Caenorhabditis elegans: one gene and its partners. The protein of the gene in region 2 purifies or fractionates together with the protein of the main gene of each other region. This does not show direct contact. Each region holds a gene or a part of one and is shown on either strand. Other genes may lie near its edges.

What was found. The genes of interacting proteins can lie anywhere in the genome.
Region 1: the proteins of scl-2 (region 2) and nex-3 fractionate together in Caenorhabditis elegans (co-fractionation; one large-scale study listed by BioGRID). This does not show direct contact.
Region 3: the proteins of scl-2 (region 2) and F08F3.4 fractionate together in Caenorhabditis elegans (co-fractionation; one large-scale study listed by BioGRID). This does not show direct contact.

What each region holds. Positions count from the first base shown.
Region 1 is NC_003281.10:4,439,068-4,445,342, reverse strand, and holds nex-3 (Annexin), read right to left. Parts: upstream 3,263-6,275; 5' UTR 3,251-3,262; coding exon 3,209-3,250; intron 3,166-3,208; coding exon 3,067-3,165; intron 2,996-3,066; coding exon 2,775-2,995; intron 2,339-2,774; coding exon 1,936-2,338; intron 1,611-1,935; coding exon 1,497-1,610; intron 1,299-1,496; coding exon 1,224-1,298; 3' UTR 1,106-1,223; downstream 1-1,105. Other genes in the region: C28A5.2 (REJ domain-containing protein), read left to right, coding at 5,800-5,853, 5,903-6,040, 6,086-6,151, 6,199-6,275.
Region 2 is NC_003282.8:13,054,789-13,060,178, reverse strand, and holds scl-2 (SCP domain-containing protein), read right to left. Parts: upstream 2,470-5,390; 5' UTR 2,458-2,469; coding exon 2,284-2,457; intron 2,233-2,283; coding exon 2,095-2,232; intron 1,925-2,094; coding exon 1,713-1,924; intron 1,281-1,712; coding exon 1,181-1,280; 3' UTR 1,117-1,180; downstream 1-1,116. Other genes in the region: scl-3 (SCP domain-containing protein), read right to left, coding at 1-78, 321-457, 509-551; scl-1 (SCP domain-containing protein), read right to left, coding at 2,918-3,017, 3,073-3,290, 3,338-3,475, 3,621-3,788; F49E11.7 (Serine/threonine-protein phosphatase), read right to left, coding at 5,025-5,270, 5,323-5,390.
Region 3 is NC_003283.11:5,407,934-5,414,106, reverse strand, and holds F08F3.4 (L-threonine 3-dehydrogenase, mitochondrial), read right to left. Parts: upstream 3,153-6,173; 5' UTR 2,994-3,152; coding exon 2,750-2,993; intron 2,692-2,749; coding exon 2,514-2,691; intron 2,465-2,513; coding exon 2,232-2,464; intron 1,668-2,231; coding exon 1,398-1,667; intron 1,316-1,397; coding exon 1,164-1,315; 3' UTR 1,106-1,163; downstream 1-1,105. Other genes in the region: F08F3.10 (uncharacterized protein), read right to left, coding at 224-349, 398-483, 687-696; C25A6.1 (Serine/threonine-protein phosphatase), read right to left, coding at 4,036-4,116, 4,164-4,241, 4,292-4,432, 4,478-4,551, 4,598-4,673, 4,744-4,872, 5,256-5,579; dmsr-7 (G-protein coupled receptors family 1 profile domain-containing protein), read right to left, coding at 5,909-6,023, 6,074-6,148.

The sequences.
Region 1 (6,275 bases), on a different chromosome or scaffold from region 2:
TTGTTCAAATGCTAGCTTTTTTTAAATCATGATTCTTTAAACAATTTTATTATAAATTTTTTATGCCAAATAATTTTCTAAAAATTAACACTTTGAAATTCCCGAACAAAAATGTTTTTTGAAAAGTTAAAAATTTGAATTTTTCGTCTAAAGTTGTTTAAACTAAAGTTATAATTTTAACGCTTAAAAATTTTCAATTTTTGCGATTTTTAAAATTTTAAACTCTAACTTTTATGTTGAAAAAAAACGCCGACAAGACACGACAGGCAGGCAGGTAGGCGCCAGGATCCTGCCTGCCTGTCACAAATTCCAAAATTTCAACACTAAATTTCATTGACATTTTCTCAATAAATCACTCATCAGTCTGTTTTCACATACCGCCCGTTCCTCTCATCAAAAGGGGTTTTTCCATCATTTCAACGTGTGTGTGTCGGCGGTGAAATGGCGGAATCGACGGAACGGCGCCTGAATTACGGTGGGAAAAGGGAGGAAATTCAACCCCACCATGACCTCTTCTTCCCCGACAAGACATAGAGAGATGGTTTGAATTATTGCAAAATAGAGCCTGAATGAATAGGAATCGAATGCCGATGAACGAGGAACACGCCAATTTTCGATCCATGTGAGGGTCACTATGAAGAACAAAAGAAATGGAATCTAAAAGGAAACGGAAAAGGCGTCGGGAGGGGACCTTATGGATAATTATAGTCTGCAGTTTTGCTACATAACAAATTTTTGAATTTGATTCAAGGGGAGAATCTTAAAAAGATCAAGAGTTCGTGATGAAACAGAGAATGGCCAAAATTATGGACTGGCACATTAATTGAAACATTGTTCTACAGTGAAATAAATATTTTTCTGCATTTAGTTTAACAGACTTTTAAATGAGTCTAATCAGAAATTCTATAGAAAAATATTTCGATTAATAATCGGGGTTTTGAGGTACAATTGCTTCAGGTCCTGTTCTGTTCTAACCGACTCGGGAGATGTCAGCTGCTCGAAAATCATAAGAAATTTATAATGGGATGTTGACCAGCATTGAACGTGGGACATGTAATGCTAATTTTCAAGAAAACTTTGTGAGCACTTTTTGGAATTGTCGCTTGTCATTTTTCAAACTTTTATTAAAATAAAAACGTTTAGAAATAGATTTTATAAAGTAGTTTCAATGTAAAGCAATTTCAAACAGAAAGCATTTTAATCGATAGTTTGTATTTCATTTTCTAAGGTCTTGGATTTCCCTTGACAAGCATCGTCAAACCATCACGGTATTCTGCCTTGCACTCCTCCTTGATTAGCTGCAATTTTATGAAATTTATAAAGAGAAACCAATATGGTTTTCTATAGAAAATATTACGAACATCGCTCTGGGGATCTTAAATAGAAATTTGTATTTTGAACTGTATTTGGAAATATCAACATATTTTTTGTTCTATTTTCAGTACACATTTTGGCGTAAACGTTGCAGGTAATATCAGTCTACTTGATAGGCTCACCTGAGTCAATGGTTTTCCAAAAAGAGTTTGAAATTCGTGTTCAATGATCACCAAATCATTTTCCGATCGGGATACCAGAATACGAATAAGATCCTTGTCACGTGTTCCCATTCCCTGAAAACATGAATATTTCCTGAACTTTGAGGGTTTTTATCTAGAATGTTTTTAGCGTTACCAGCTTTAGTTTAACTCTTTTCCTATATCTTCATAGTTGATTAATTTTATCTAAAGCCTTACGCCTACACGCGTGCCTACTACATTGCTTACTTCTGTGCCTACTTCCGTGCCTACGTAGGAAGTTAAGCACGATATGTGTGTAGACTTGTGAAAGTTCCTACATGTAACAAAAAGATAAATGTTTAAATCAAATCAGGAAATTTTTGTCATTTACCTAAAGTCAAATTTCTCTGAACTAAGATTTCAAATATCTTGCACCTACCTTGGTTGCCAAATGAATCGAATTTGCAAAATATCGAGGCTTATTTCTCGAAGTCTCAATAAGAGACAACACCAAATTCTTGAAATCTCCGCTGAGCTCCTTGTCAATAAGTTTCTGGAACTCTTTTCCAGATTGTCTCTCGACTTCTTCAATAACTTTTTGAATATGAGCTCCATTGCATGTTGCAAAGATCTTGAACGCATCGAATTTTTCGACTCCAGACTTTTTGTCAAAACTTTTCAGAATTTGAGCAGCGTGAGGCCCAACTTTGAATGTATCAGCGAATCCACCTTCTTCGCGTTTTGCTTGGAGAATGACAATGAGAAGACGCCGGAAGTCTCCAGAAGTATCAGCAGAAATTGCATCTTCCAATGATTTGGAGTAAGTCATGAAGTAAGTGTTTCTAGAAAAAACATATGTTGATATTAATTTTTTTAAGGACATTTTCTAGAAAACAACTTTAAAATTATCATTGGGTTCGTTTTCGGGAGACCTAACTAGCTTTCAAAAGCCTACGCACAGGAATTACGACTGATTCATACTTTTGAAATCTCCGCCTTTCTGCGTGCCTACGTTATACCTTGCTTCGGGACCTACATCAAGACTGTCTGCCTATGCCTTATTCATAACCATAGTGCTGTCTGGGTTATGTTTGTCTACCCACGGACCTACCTTATGCCTGCCTAAGTGCCTACTCTGCACCAAATCGCTGCCTACCTATGTGTTTTCACGTTCCCGCCTGATGTCTATACCATGCCTACTTCCCAATTGTTTCTGTTGTTGTAAAATTTAGTTTTGACTTCAAGCTTCTAATTTCGAAAAACTTTTTAAAAACTAACTTCGCCGCTTCAATTTCCTCGTTAGTCCTAGTTGTCAGAATTTCGATCAAATTTTTCTCATTTGTTCCAAGACCCTTCACAGATCGATTCAGCTCAGTCACGTCTAGTTTAGTAGGAGTTTGAAGTAGAGCAACGAGAAAATCTTCGAAATCTCCAGAAAATGCTTTTTTGATTTCATCTTCCAAATCCTTTCCGTAACGAGTTTTGTAGGGTGTGCGGATCTGGAAATATGGAGCTTTTAGACATAGGCAGGTGAGTAGGCAGGCATGCCTACCTACCATTAAAATCTTACCATCTGTCTCTGTGTATTATTAACCGAAACCAAGATTTCCAAAATCTTCAGTTTCTCCTTGTTTCTAAGAGCCTTCTCTAGTTGCTCCGAGGCGGCAACCTACAATTTTCGGCTTAACTTTACTAGTTTCCCACAGGCTTACCTCATCAAAATACGGCTTGAAATGGATCTTTGCAGTTGCCATTATGTCGGTTTTCTAGAACTTTGAGGTATATATTTCAGGTAGACTTTTTGAGGTATTTGGATAATGGGAGAATTGAATGTGGTAAAGAATTTTGCACTTTTGGATCAGGGATTACACGACAGTTCAATATAGTACAAAGAAAAAGTGAACCGAATTTGCTTGTAAAATATGATGTATCAAGTATGTGTGAACACGGCCAATGCATCAAATTTTATGAGCAAATCTATAGAATGTGGGAAGTGCAGTACTTTCTGAATGCTTTATTGATAGCGTTTCAGATTTATTTTTTTTAGGATTTTTAAAGTAAATATTTTAATTTTCCTAAAACGCCTAATAGCTCCCTATGAGGCTGGCAGAATTCAAGATTCTCGTAATTTCGCAGTTGGATAATATTTTTTATTTATTTTCTTCGTAGGGAAGTTTCAAGTATTACGTCCACCAATGAGTGTAAATATTTGTGAAACATTGAAAAGAAGTCTGCAAAATAGTGGAAAATTGACGTCAGTTCATCTTTGATTCCTACTTTTTAAACGGAAATAAAATTAAATTGAAAGAGATTCATAACTGGTTATGCTTCGAAAATAAGGCAGAAATATATTGAGAACGAAATAACTGCGATGAGTCATTTGAAACTGTCTGAACACTTTTATTGTCCACAAAAATAGGGAGTGGTTTTTCGAAAAAGAGACCTTCGAAAAGAAAAGAGATGTGATGATGAGTCAGTGGAATTTTAGAAAAGAAATTTTGAAATACTTTTGATTTCGAAATTAAATAGAATTTTTGGGGAAACTTTCCTAACTTTGACAATTAGAAAATTTAACAATTTTGCTACAAAAAAAATTATAGCTTATTATTTGTCATTGGTATTTTTTAAGGTATTCTGGGAAATTCAAACATTTTCGTTATTTTTCTAGAATTTTGCGTGAAAAATGATGAAAAATTAAAATTAAAATTGAATCAAAAACCGTTTTCTTCCCACTATATCATGTCACTATATCATGCACTTCTTAACTTAATTTTAAAATTAAAAAGAAATATTAAAAGCAACAGAAAAGTGGAAAAAACTTGAATTTACGGTTTTACCTAACGAGACCCAATGTTTAGGGGCGGAGCGTTTAAAATTGGCGTTGGGGCGAGATTGATTTTCGATTTCGAAAGGCGTTTTTTGCGTCCCCCTAATATGACTTTTGATTTTTTTTTTTTGCAAAATAGATTCTTGCACGAAAATTTTCGGGAATATTGTTACAGAACACTTGTGAGGAAATTTGAATGTTTCACTATCACATTATTCACGAAAATTGACAGAAATATAAAGGTCTGAGAATATTATGAAAACTTATTATTTAAAATTCTGCTCAAAAATCGCAAAATAAATGCTCTGCGGATATATTGAAATTCCAAGTTCTATAAAATTGCAAAAACTTGTGAAATACCTGCCCAAATGCGAACAGATCATCATTTTCGTGTCTTTTCAAAAAGGTTGGCAGACACTTTGAAAGAGAAAGTGAGGATATTCGGAACGAATTCAATTGAAATGGTCACGGTTGAAAAGGAATTATACATTATTGATGCTAGTTAGGATATGTATAGGCTTCTATTGTGAATTACAATTGAGATCAATTTAGAGAAAATATTCTTCAAAAATATCGTATATAAATGTTGAAAAATAGAAGAACAAACTGTCTCAATATCTCAAATGTTAACTAAACAAGCAAAAGTTCTCGTTTTTTTTTTCTGCAAAGAGTCATCGAAAACTATAATAAAAAATGGGAAGAAAGAATGAGGAAATGTGTTTGTAAATAAAAAAAGAATTGGGAGAAAGTTCAAACAAATAGACATTCGAATCGTTTGTTTAAACTTCTTGAGTTTGTCCTTGTTTGATGGTGGAGTACTGTCAATGGGAGATTTTAGCAAGAGTGGAAAAATCACCAAAATCTGGGATTTTTTAAACTTAATGTCATTATTACATTTTTCTTTAAAGCAGGAGTATCGCCTGTGGGGAAATAGTCAAAAACTACATATATAGTGGCAAAAGGACCAAATATCATGGAAAAACTTTGGAAGCAGCTGGAAAGTGAGAACTGAGAAGTTTCAGACCAACTCCGCCCTTTTTTCTTTGAATTTGCTTAGGTTCGCAAAAACTTGAAATTAGCATCAAAATGTTTTATGGCTTATTTCTGTACAGTTCAAAATTCGACATATCATCGTCTACACCAAACGAACAAGTCTTCACAACAATTTTAATTCCACCGTTGTAGGCCTGAAAATTTCAATCCGGTTACAGTCACACTTAAAGGTGCATGCATGTCGGTTCACAGGTCTCACCACGCCACCAGTGCATGCCTGCTCGGTCCAAACGGAGATTTTCCCATTTTTCGCTTTCATTTAGCTAATTTTTTTGTTAAAAAGTGATTTCTAAATTTGAAAATAGTGAAATTCGGTTAAATCTTCAGCGTAAAGTGTTCAGATTTGCTTTGGACTTCTTTAAAACATTTTTAATTCAGATTTACGAGTTTCTGTGACTTGCCGATGATTATCACCGCAAAACAATGCATTTTTATAAATACGGCGTTTTGATTGATCAGCTCAGAGATTCGTTTGAGGTATTTTCTTTAATTATTTTTAATTAGTTCGTAAAATCATTATTTTCAGTGGAGAGTCGCATTCTTGGATGGATCTGTCAGTGATCATTGTTGCATCACCGTTCCTTCGGAAAAGTTTAACTTTCCGCCGACTCCAGGAGCAACTGTTAAAGCCAAATTTGAACACGCGAACAGCTTTTTGCCATCGGTATCATATTAATTATGAGTAACTTTCTCAATTTAAAATGTTCAGCTTGTCGCACAATGTGGCAGTTTTGAATGGTTTCGTGATGTAACGGTGGTGAATTCCAAAGTTGTGGTATGAAAATCGAATTATTTTACCATTTTACAATCAACTTGTTTCAGATCTTCGCTATTGTGCACTTCTCAAATGAATGTCTAGAAAGAGATCCATTTAAAATAAATGGAATGGATTACAGCAT
Region 2 (5,390 bases):
TCCAGCTGCATTGGAGTGACCTCTCGGGCAAGTGTTAGCAAAAGTTTGAGCAGCGGTGGCCAATGTGGTGTCCCACTTCTGAAATGGTATTGGAGGTATAAGGAGTGAGTAGTAGGCGATAGTAGGCGAGGTCTAAGAAGTCTACGCCAGCTCTACATCAGACCCTTTAATTAACTCCAGATCAAGTGCTCCCAGATCTGTAGAGAAGCCGACTGAAACTTTAGAAAATGCTCTGAAGAGCACTTGAACCTAGCAAAGACCTTCAACTGAAGGTTCCATTCATTGGAAAATCACAAAGTAACTAACTGCCGAAAACCTACCATTTTCAAAAGATTACTACCAGCTGCTTTTGTTGTCCCTTTAGCCACATATGTTCCCTTGGCAATTGAAGTACGAAGCTTATTATGAAGGTCCACAATGAATTGTTGAGTGCTTTCTCTGAATTGAGCATAAGCTCCTGAAAAATTGAAGAAAATTAGTTTCAAAAATTTCCAAAAAAAAAACTTACCAATCTGAAGGGTAACCAAAACGAGAAGAGTAAAGGTGTGCATGTTGTCTGTTGAAAATACAACTAGTAGGTTGGATATTTATAGGAGATTTTAGTTTGTATGAACAACTGGATGTCGTCGTCGCCGTGAGGGAAACTAAAAGTCATGGGAAGAGGGAAAAAACTAAAGAACGTGTGCTTTAATAGAAATAGACTAAATTGGTAAGAGTTTTATGTTGACATTGTTTGTTTTATATACAAAAGGGAGGCTGAAGTTGGATTTCATTTTTTGAAATTTCACACAGTAGATAGTAACAATACAGACATACGGTAATTTTTTGAAATTCATGGAAGTCAGAAACGGAAAAATAAAAACGTTTTCAAGCTGTTAACTTTCAACTAAATCACCAACATCTTTGAAAATACATACAAGATATCGTAGTCAAAAAACCTATAGCTTGAACTTTTTTCATAACTTAGATACATCTCTAGACACAAGTAGTCTTTGACCTCCCAATAAAGTTCTAACTGCTCATTATACTCCAAATCTGCCAATAGGATTTCGAACACGTAATCGTCGCATTTGTTACATAGGCATTTTGATCAAAGGTTGTTTGTGTTCTGGTTTTCAACTAGCACACAATTTTATTTATTATCTACAGAAAGTTTGAAAACACATTGCATTATTAAAGTTTAGACGCAGAGCCCTGTGGAAGTCTCACATGACGTTCCTGATGGACAGCCGGAACAGGTTGCTCCCGATACGTAGATGTATTGATTAATGAAGTTTCCTCTGAAAATTGATGTATTAGCAAACAGTAGCTTGTATTCAACAGGGCTCTCTCGCACATACACTTTTCAATTTTTTTTTATGTTAAAAATTTTGTCTCGGTTGAAATTAATTTTCCTAAAACTACTTTTTACTCTTCAGAAAAATCCTAACTCACAAAGTGTTCAAGACTACTTTACCAGTTGTCGAAGCACAGTTCACTTTTCGCCAACAACAATATTTTTCGTATTTTTGTATAATTTTTATTGGGTTTTTTGTTTTTAATGATCTCCTCAAAATGATCAAAATTTGTTGAAAATTGCCTAATTTTTTGGATTTTGTTTCAGGGAACGTGACCAAAAATTTATCTTTTTTGCAAACCTATCCTAGAGAACAACACAAAACACAACATTCGCAGACACAGTCAACATAGACTAGTCAACAAATCTCACTTACTGCGGCTTGTACTGGCACACGACGGTTACTTTGTTCAGGCCGTTTGAGTCTCTTCCACAATCCTTGACTCCACATCCGATCAGGTTGGATTTCGCCCACGCCATTTGAGTCGCGTGTCCGATTCCTGTGTTGAAGAGATCGATAGTCATAAGGTTAGACTTCCATCCGTAATCTTGGAATTCTTTTTCCCATGATGCCGACGCAGCAGATCCCTGAATGAAAAGATTGATTATAGAAATTTCAGAAACTTTTAAAATAAAGAAGGTATCAAGCGCCTGCCTCCTGCCTACTGCCAATATTCGCATGTTGTATTTAGGCAAAATTTGAACAAAATAGGCAGTAGGTCTAGGCAGGCAGGCACAAGGTAGACTAAATGACTGACATATTGATTGAGGTCTCCCAGAGATCCACTTGTCCAATACCAATACAAATTCTCCCCAAGGCCTGCATCTCCAGAGTGTCCCGTCGGACACCCGTTTGCGTAGTTTTGGGCGGATGCGGCGACTGCGGAATCCCATTTCTGAAAAGTTGAAATCAAAAATAAATCTGAGAACCTTAGTTATGTACATACCATTTTCAACAGATTTGTTCCCGGCGATTTCTGAGTTCCTTTTGCCACGTAGGTACCTTTTGCAATTTTAGACCGCAGAGTGTTATGTGCATTGATAATTCCGTTTTGTCCGGAAGAGCCGAAATCAGCGGAGCAGCCAACAGCAAGCGCCACAACCAGCAACAAGTAATTCATAATTGGAGAAAAAAGTGCAAGTCAACACGAATATGTTTATCACTGCGGTTCATTTTATAGGAGTCTTATCACGCGAAAACCTGTAAAATTGTATGATAATTGAGAAATCGTAAGCTACGTATGATCGGAAGTGGGCAGCACAAGACCAAAGAATTGACTTTTATCAGTAATTATGAACATTTGAGTCAAGTCAACAAGTATTCTGATTAGGAAGAAGTGAATTTTCTTCCTAATTTTGTTGTTGGCACATAGGCAAGTAGAATGTTTTACTTTTGCCTGCACTTGATGTTGTGTGCATTTTCGTAAATTTTAAAAAAGTTTGGTGTAATTTAAAGTTTTCGCTTTATTTTTTTTATATAATCACCAAGAAAAAACAAATGCTTCATTAGTAAATTAATTCCCAGATTAAAACAAAACAAATAAATTAAAAAATTACAGACACAAAAAGTGAAATCTCTCATTATCCGCAAAGCCCAGAAGCAGTGTCACATTTAGTAGATCCGGAACAGCTGGAACACGTAGTTCCTTCCTTATAAATCGGCCGTCCCATAGTGTTTCCTCTGAATATTTTTGAACAATTTTGAGTTAAAAAAAATCAAAAACTTCAGTGCTTACGGTGGACTATACTGGCAGACTACAGCTATTTTGTTCATATTTCTCATCGATGCGTCTCGTCCACAATTCTTGACTCCACACCCGATGGAGCTGGTGTTTGCCCAAGCCATTTGAGTAGCGTGTCCTATTCCACTGTTGAATAGGGTGGTATCCATTGCGTTAGACTTCCAGCCAAAGTCTTGGAATTCCTTTTCCCATGCGGCAGCGGCGATTTCTCCCTGGAAAGAATTATTGATTTCTGTCCCAGAAAAGTTATGCGACTCACATAGGAATCCAAGGATCCAACATCCGCAGAAGTCCAAGACCAATACAAATTTTCCCCATATCCAGTTCCCTTTGAGTGTCCAGTTGGGCACGTATTCGCATAATTCTGAGCCGACGCAGCTACGGTGGAATCCACGACCTGAAAAGTTTATTGAAGTATCATCATTGGGCTTTTTGTTCAAATATGATTGCCAAAAGTTACCCCAACTTGAATGACTTGAAACTCTTGAAAAAAGAAAACTTTAAGTTTTTTATTTGACATAATTGGGCAATTTAAAACCTACCATTTTCCTCATATCAGTTGCTGGTTCTTTTTTGGTTCCCTTCGCAACATAGGTACTCTTTGCAATAGCGGATCTCAATTTGTTATGAGCATCCACAATGCTTGATTGACCAGTTGAAGTGAATTGAGCATTGACACCAATTGCTAGGAGGCAGAGAATGAAGTACATGGCAAACAAAATTATGATTTAAAGTTGCAAACGTGCTGCTTTTTATGAGAGGAGTTTTTTAATCAAGTACGAGATTTTCAAATAACTTTTAATATTTGCAAAACGTAAACAACAACAATCTTTATTTTTGTCCATTGTAGAGAAAACTCATAAATGATCCAAACGATTTGGTCAATAACAACAACAAATTGAGCTTTTTACGGATATCAAAAAGATCAGCCGGACTGAAAATATTATGCTATCGGGCTTCAAACCCACACACTTTTCGACTCGGCAAATTTGGTAAATTTGCCGCCCACCCCTGGTTTGTACTCGAATAATTACTAGAGAATCAAGCAAAAAACTGGAACAAAACTTTATTAACAAAACTTTATACTTTGACAAAAAATATAGTAAGTACTGATTTCCTCATTAATATTAATAATTATAATAAACTAAATCGTAATTTATCTGTAATTTTAAATTTAACTTATTCAATATTCGCCGACTGGATTCTTACTTCAATCCAGGATTTACACTTGAGGACTTCAAATTGATGAAGTGTGAAGAACTGACAATATGGAACCATAGCTTTACTCCAGAATACTTGAATCATTTTATCCGTAATTGATTAAACGGAAACATGAAAGAATTGAGAAGATTCCACTTGGACCATGATTTCAAAATAAGAGATTGGGTAGTGGTGTTGAATGAAATAGTAGTTAGTCGATGGGACGAAGTACGCCGAGAAAAAGTATACAGGTATTAGTGGTAAAAAGGAAAAATGATTGTTCTTTGGCAAAAAAATTATTTATTTATTTATTTATTTCAAACAATGTGTAGGTCTGGCAACAAGTGAATAAATTTCTAATTTACTTAAAAATCTGTAGGGATGCTAAACTGACATAGGAAATACGGTATCAATTTCCAATTTCAGAATCGGTTTTCAAGAATTTGATTGTTCCGATGGTTGGGATATCGAAAGGGAAGATGGAACTATTGCTACTGTAGTTTTTGTGAAATCATCATTTGATTTTTTTGTTTGGTCTAAATGATTGGAGTCAGAAACAATTATACCGCACGTTTGAAAACGCTTGCATTGTTATTATCTTTCAAATAAAATATTTATTCATTTTAGTCATTCATTTTGTACTGAATTTTGTCAAAAAAAACCTGAAAATTCAAAAAATTCAAAATTTTTCTTACACTTTTCTTGCAAAAAATATTGGAAATTATACACAAACTATTAATTTCAGTCTAAATCTTTCCAAGAGAAAGCCCCTCTCCGCCCTTGCTTTTGCCGTTCGAGTGCGACGGCGACGACGACGACGATGTTTTCAAATGTTTGACTGGCATTGAACCCGACTTTTTTCTTTCCAAATTAGGAATATCATCTCCACGAGTGATTTCATCAGCTGAATTTGCATGAAGAAGTTTCTTATGACGAAAACGCCCAATATTCAGTTTTCCATCTGTCTCGACTCTCAATGTGGCGCCGTGATTCTGAAAATGCCATTTTACAGTTTCAGATGTGGTTTAACATCAGCAGACATACATCGGTTTCATTCATGTAACGCGGAGCCGAGAATATCGTGAGAAGTTTCTGATCAGCAAAGAACTTGA
Region 3 (6,173 bases), on a different chromosome or scaffold from region 2:
ATTTTAGCGAAAATCCATTTAGTTAAGCCAGAAAACGTTTTTCCTTTTTTAGCCCTTTTTATTTTTTAAAAATTGAAAAATCATAAAAACATTTTTGGAAAATTATTTATTCAATTTTTTGGCAATTGTATTTGCCCATTACGGTCCATTTTCTATGGTTTAAATCAGAATACCGAATTGCTTTTCTCCACTTTTGAAGTTAAATATTTGAAAAAAAACTTACTGCAAACGTCAATTTATAAATAAACAATTTCTCATGCCATTCTGTTTTGACCAAAAGTAATACTCCAAGCGTGATTCCAATTATTGAGGTAGCAATACTGATCCCACAATGTATGTAAACCCAGGTCTGAAAAATTAAATTTTCTGAAGCAAAAAAATAAATTGCAAGCCAAACCTGAATACGGAGCCTAAAACAAGTCTGCTTTTTTTCATTTTCTGAAAAGTTTCCAAAAGGACCTTGAATGTTTAAATATGGATTTCCTGAAAACAAAAATTTTGAACGTAAATTATGGAAATTGTGTATGAAAATATGTCTCAATTAGTTGCTCTAATTGGTTTGGTTTGTAAAAAACGTTTTAAAAGTAAGAACCCAAGAATTTTAAATTTAGACTAAATTATTTGCTTTTTAGAAATAAAAAAACATTTTTATATTTTGATATATAAAATATATGTGTGAAACTTACCTGAAATCATTTTTGTTGTAAATTATGATTCCCAGCTACAACCTTCAAAGCAGAAACAAAACGAAGAGTGGAGCAGAGAATGTTGAGCTCAGTTGACAACTGTTACACCATCATTTCATTTCAATCACATTGTTGTTTCTCACTCTAATTCTCAACCTTATGTATCACTAACATCTAATAAATTTTATTCGATTTTCGCATATTCTTTCATCTCAACTGATGTTTCTGAATAATCAAGTGTCAATTTTTAAATTGCTGACAAAAATACAACCGTGTTCATGAATTGCACTCTAATTCTTCTCATAACCCCACAGTTAACTGAAATGCTGTTCAAATGACCACTTGCTTTTGTGTCATACACCCATTTTGCACCCATTGATACTTTCTATCCGTTCCAAGTGTAAACTTTTCTCTCTATCACTTTTATTTTTGCAACAAGTAGATCAAATGATTTATTAATGCCTAAATAACCAGTTTTTATGCAGTACTGACAATCTTTGTAGGTTTGTCTTCTTCTCTTCGCAGCAATGCGAACATCACTTGAACAGTTTCATCGAGACCATATTCTGGATTCCATCCCCAATCCTTACGTGCTTCACTGTCATCCAATGACATAGGCCATGAATCGGCTGAAAAAAATTATTTTAGTTTTTTTAAAAGAGGTATTTCTTTTTGCAAGTCCACTTGCAAAAATGATCATATATCACCTACCAATAGACTGCCTTGTTGGACAGATATCGTAATCAATCTCGAAACCTGGCATCACTCTTCGAATTGCATCAGCAATTTCCTCTGGTGTGAATGAGAATCCCGTTACATTGTATGTTCGCCTCTTCAATGATTGACTGTCAGCAGCCAAAAGTTGAATGACTGAAGCCATACAATCAGTGTCGTACATCATTGGAAGACGTGTGTCTGGTCGAAGGTAGCAGGTGTGCTTGCCTTTTTGAAGAGCGTCGTAGAAAATTTGGATTGCGTAGTCTGAAAGGAGGATAGTTTTGACTGTGTACGTGAGAAATATTCTTTTCAAAAATGTATCAACTGATCAACTTTGACCACTTTTTGATACCGTTTGTCTGCAAGGAAATTATCTCTAATCGTGTTACAAAACCTTTCTAATTGAAAAGGTCGTATCAAAAATTAGTTGGGAAGTAATTCGAAACCATTCATATAGGGCTAAAAGGACCAAATTTCATAGTAAAACTTTTCCAAAAGTTTTTGGAAAATTTTTATTGCCAGTCAGAAAGTGGCAATTACTGAGTTTTGCCATTTTTCAAAAAAAAAAAATCTAAAACATTGTTGCATGTTCAAATCCCAATGTTGAACTATGAACATTTTCAACATAATCAAACAGCTGTAAGAAATTTTTTTCTGATTTTTTAATCGACGACTTGCAAAAGATAGGTGAAAACTGAGATTTCACCTTTTCAAATTTTTTTCTCTAAGTTTTATTATAATATTTGGTCATTTTAGAATTGACCGTACTTCATCTTTAAAGGAAAAAAGTTTCAAATTCTCGTTTAATTATTATATAATTTTACTCACCAGTAGTTCCACCACCTGGCTTTGTCGCTGAGATAATACCCGGGAATCTCATGCTTCTGAAATCAACCCCAAACCGATGATTGAAATATTCTCCGAGACGTTCTGCATATACTTTACTGACTCCATAAATGGTTGTAGGACATTGTACTGTAAGATCTGGAGTGTTTTCTCTTGGAGTTGTTGGTCCAAAAGCTCCAATTGTGGATGGAATGAACACTTTTAGCTTATGTTTTCTGAAACAATACAATGTCAAGATATAGTCCAATACAAGTAGGAACTTACGCAGCAACTTGCAAAATGTTCTCAACTCCTCTACAATTCACTTGCAGAGCCAACGGAACATTTGTTTCTCCAACAGCTGATAGAAGTGCAGAGAAATGAACAATTGTGTCGATGTTTTTGTTAACAACGATTTCTTCAATAGATCCTTGATTCAAAATATCCAGGTAATTGTAGTCGGCTAAAATACACAATAAATTAATTTTCTGTTGAAAATATGGAAAGCAGTTTCAACTTACAAACATCTGTAGCATTTGCAGGAAGACGAACAATATCACTCATAACAACGCATTCAGATCCATACATGTACTTGTAGACTGAATTTAAACCTCTTCCAAGCTGCCCAAGAGATCCAGTGATTAAAACTCGAGGAGCTTTTTGTGTTTGACTGATTGTTTTAAACCGTAATAAAGGATCAACTGGTAAAGGTGAATAGTTTCTTCTGGCATTGTGAATTCTTCCAAAAACTCGCAAGTTTTTCATTTTTTGTGTGACACGGAAGCAGACGAAGAACAGTTGATAATCAAAAAAGTTAACAGTTAGAAAAATGAGTAATCAAATCAAGTGTAGTTATGTGGGAATTTTCTTAAAAGAGGAACCAGTGAGGTCGCCTGATCAGAGACTTAGACATCGACGCCTTCTGATTTCAACGAAATGGGTGGAGGGTTGATCTTATAACTTGATGACGACGACGACGAAGACATACACTCATTTGTCCTCTTCCCACACGTGGTCATTGTCTAATTCAATTATCACGCAATTTGACGGATGCTGCCTGCTGAAGGCCTGTCCCCCCCCCCCCCCCAATTGCTAGAGAGACGAATCAAAGATAAGTATGTACCTTTTTTGTTCCCAACGCATACCTAGAGACAAACACGTGTTTCGTTAAAAAGTTACTTTGGGATACAGTTTTGGTACGGATGTACTCAGATTGTTCAGATTTTAAAGATTTTCGTAGGCTTTTTTGAAAAAATTATAAGAGTAAGTAGAGTGACTAATAGTAGTGTGACTGACTAGATGCCACGTGGGATGATATAATAACAAGCGTGACTGTATGATTAAAAGTCTAACATATGACACCCGTCTTGCCTTGGCTGGACTATCCGAATTAGAAATTTCAGCTAGTCACGATGATTGAAAAATGTAGGATCTGAAGCCAATATAACTAATTGAGGTCTCTCAAAATATTAATAAATTCAATTTTTTGGATAAAAAGATCAAAACATAGACTGGTAAGATTGAAAAATCAGTTAAAAATTTAAAGTGTTGTGGTATTCTAGTTTTGGGATAACTGTTGGGATCACCACTGTTAAGATCTCCACTGCAATATTTCTCTCAAAAAAGACGGGAAGTTGGTGAAAATTTCTACCGGAAAGGTGTCGTTGTTTGTCAAGCTGGCTGGGCAGGTTGTTGGCCAAATTTCAAATATTACTTTTAAACATTAAATTATTATTTTACAAATAATATCAAAACCACATTTATTTGTCTATTCATTTATTGAAGGAAATTATGAATCAGCCATCCATCAGTTTGTTTCATCCTTGAGCAATGGTTTCTCGCGAACTTCAAGGCGGCCACTCGTTGGACGGAGAATTTCGAACGAGCACTGTAAGAATGCACATTTATTACAACATTTCAATTAAAAATTTTTACCTGAAGCTTCTCGTCGCAAGACATGAAGGCAGCACAGTTGTCGAATTGACCACAGTAATGAGGAGCCGAGAAGATTGTCTAAAAATTTTTAATGTTCCTTTCTCTCGGCACTTTTTTTTTACTCATACCACCAATTTCCGACCAGCAAAGAACTCATAACCGTCTTGAACAACTTGATGGGCACGACAGATCAGGTCAAGCTTAAAATCGGAGCACACTTTCAGAACAGCATCTCTTCCGAATCCACACCCGGCACCTCGGTTGTTTTCCTGAATAAAGTTGATGAAATCGATCTTTTCTTATCAGAAAGTTACCATAAACCCAGAAAGACCACTAATAGGATCGGCCCACAAAAGATCAGCTACCAGTCTCTCCTTGCCGTCATGGCCTATTAATTTTTCTCAGGTTGTCCAAAGTGAAATCCTTTGACATACTAGGCGATAGTCCTCCGTGCATGCACAAGATCTTATTAGCAATGAGTCCGCAGAGTGGAAGCCAATTGAATACGTCCTGAAAGTACCGTTTTTCCTGTATTAATATTGCACCTTATTGTTCAATTTTGGTAAAAAATCAAATTTACCTGGAAAGCCGTGAACATGCGAACACTTTGATAGCGTTTCTGACACTCTTCATAGAATCCATATACCTTGTTGACAAACTCGCACTCATGGTTTCCACGCAACAAGAATAAATTGCCCGGGAATTTCACCTGGAATCATGACTTGAAAAATGTTTCAAAGAAGTTCACGCCATGGGATTTGGAAGATCGGGAGAGAGAAATAAACGTCCAAAAGATCCATCACTCCAGTTGACGTCATTTTTCAAATTTGACAGCTCATCGGAGCAGCATCAACTTTCTGTCACTTTGATACTTGAGAGATGCGCACTTTTTTGCAGAGCAATATGTGATGGACAATAAATATGTTTCTTTTTGAAAACACATTTATTTATCACATGTGTACGCTTATTTTGGAAAATCTAAGCGGTCTCTGCAAAAATCCCCTGTTTTGGCATTCTTTGTGTCAATGATTAATTCTGGCGCGTCACAATTTTTGATCCTAGCTTCTTTTTGCAAAACTTAAAGCAACAAACCTTATAAGCGAGAAGAAGAACAATGGTTTCAATGCTAAATCTTCCACGGTCCACATAGTCACCAAGGAATAAATAATTCGCAGTCGGCGGCCATCCACCACGATGGAAGAGACGAAGAAGATCCGGGAATTGTCCATGGATGTCACCGCACACCTTTATCGGAGCATTCATTTCAACCATTGATTTCTGTCTTTTAAATACATCCAGTGCCAAATCGAGAAGCTTTAGAACTCGTCCTTCCGTGATCACTTCGGAAAGTAGCTTTTCGTGAGTACTAGCGCTCAGGACATCAATTATTATGTTGTCAACGACGTCGTCTTTCATAATCTAAAACATCAAACCTTTTTAACTTTTGATTCCTGGAAGAGAAAAAGAGAACTCACCTTTCGGAAATCACTTTCAATTGAAAATAATTTTTTTTCCTAGTTTTACTCACATCTACGTGTCTTTTTGTAAACAATTTTTTTTTCACGGCGCCGTGAATAATTTAATAATTTTGTAAACCATATTGATTTATATAAAAACTGAATTAATAAAAAACAAAAAGTACCCGTAACAAGAATAGAATAGAAAATGCGAAAGCTATGAAAATGAGCAAGATATCACAAAAAATCTGCAAAGGGAATTTGTACCGAGATCGAAAAAATTGGAATTTAAAGTTGATGTTCTCTACTGCTGTTCTGATTGTCCGACACGGAAGCTTCATACCGCCAATACTCATTGCGTGCTGGTTCCGGTTCAGTTGCCAGTGGCGTATAGCTTTGTTTTCTGCAAATTAAAGATAATATTTTCCAGACTTCAAAAACAAATTAACTGACCTTCCTAGTCGTAAGCTGTTGTTCAACTGAAGCTGTGAAAGTTCCGTCGGAGAACCACGACGGGTCGTCCACAATCTGAGAGGAAAAATTTTATTTTAGA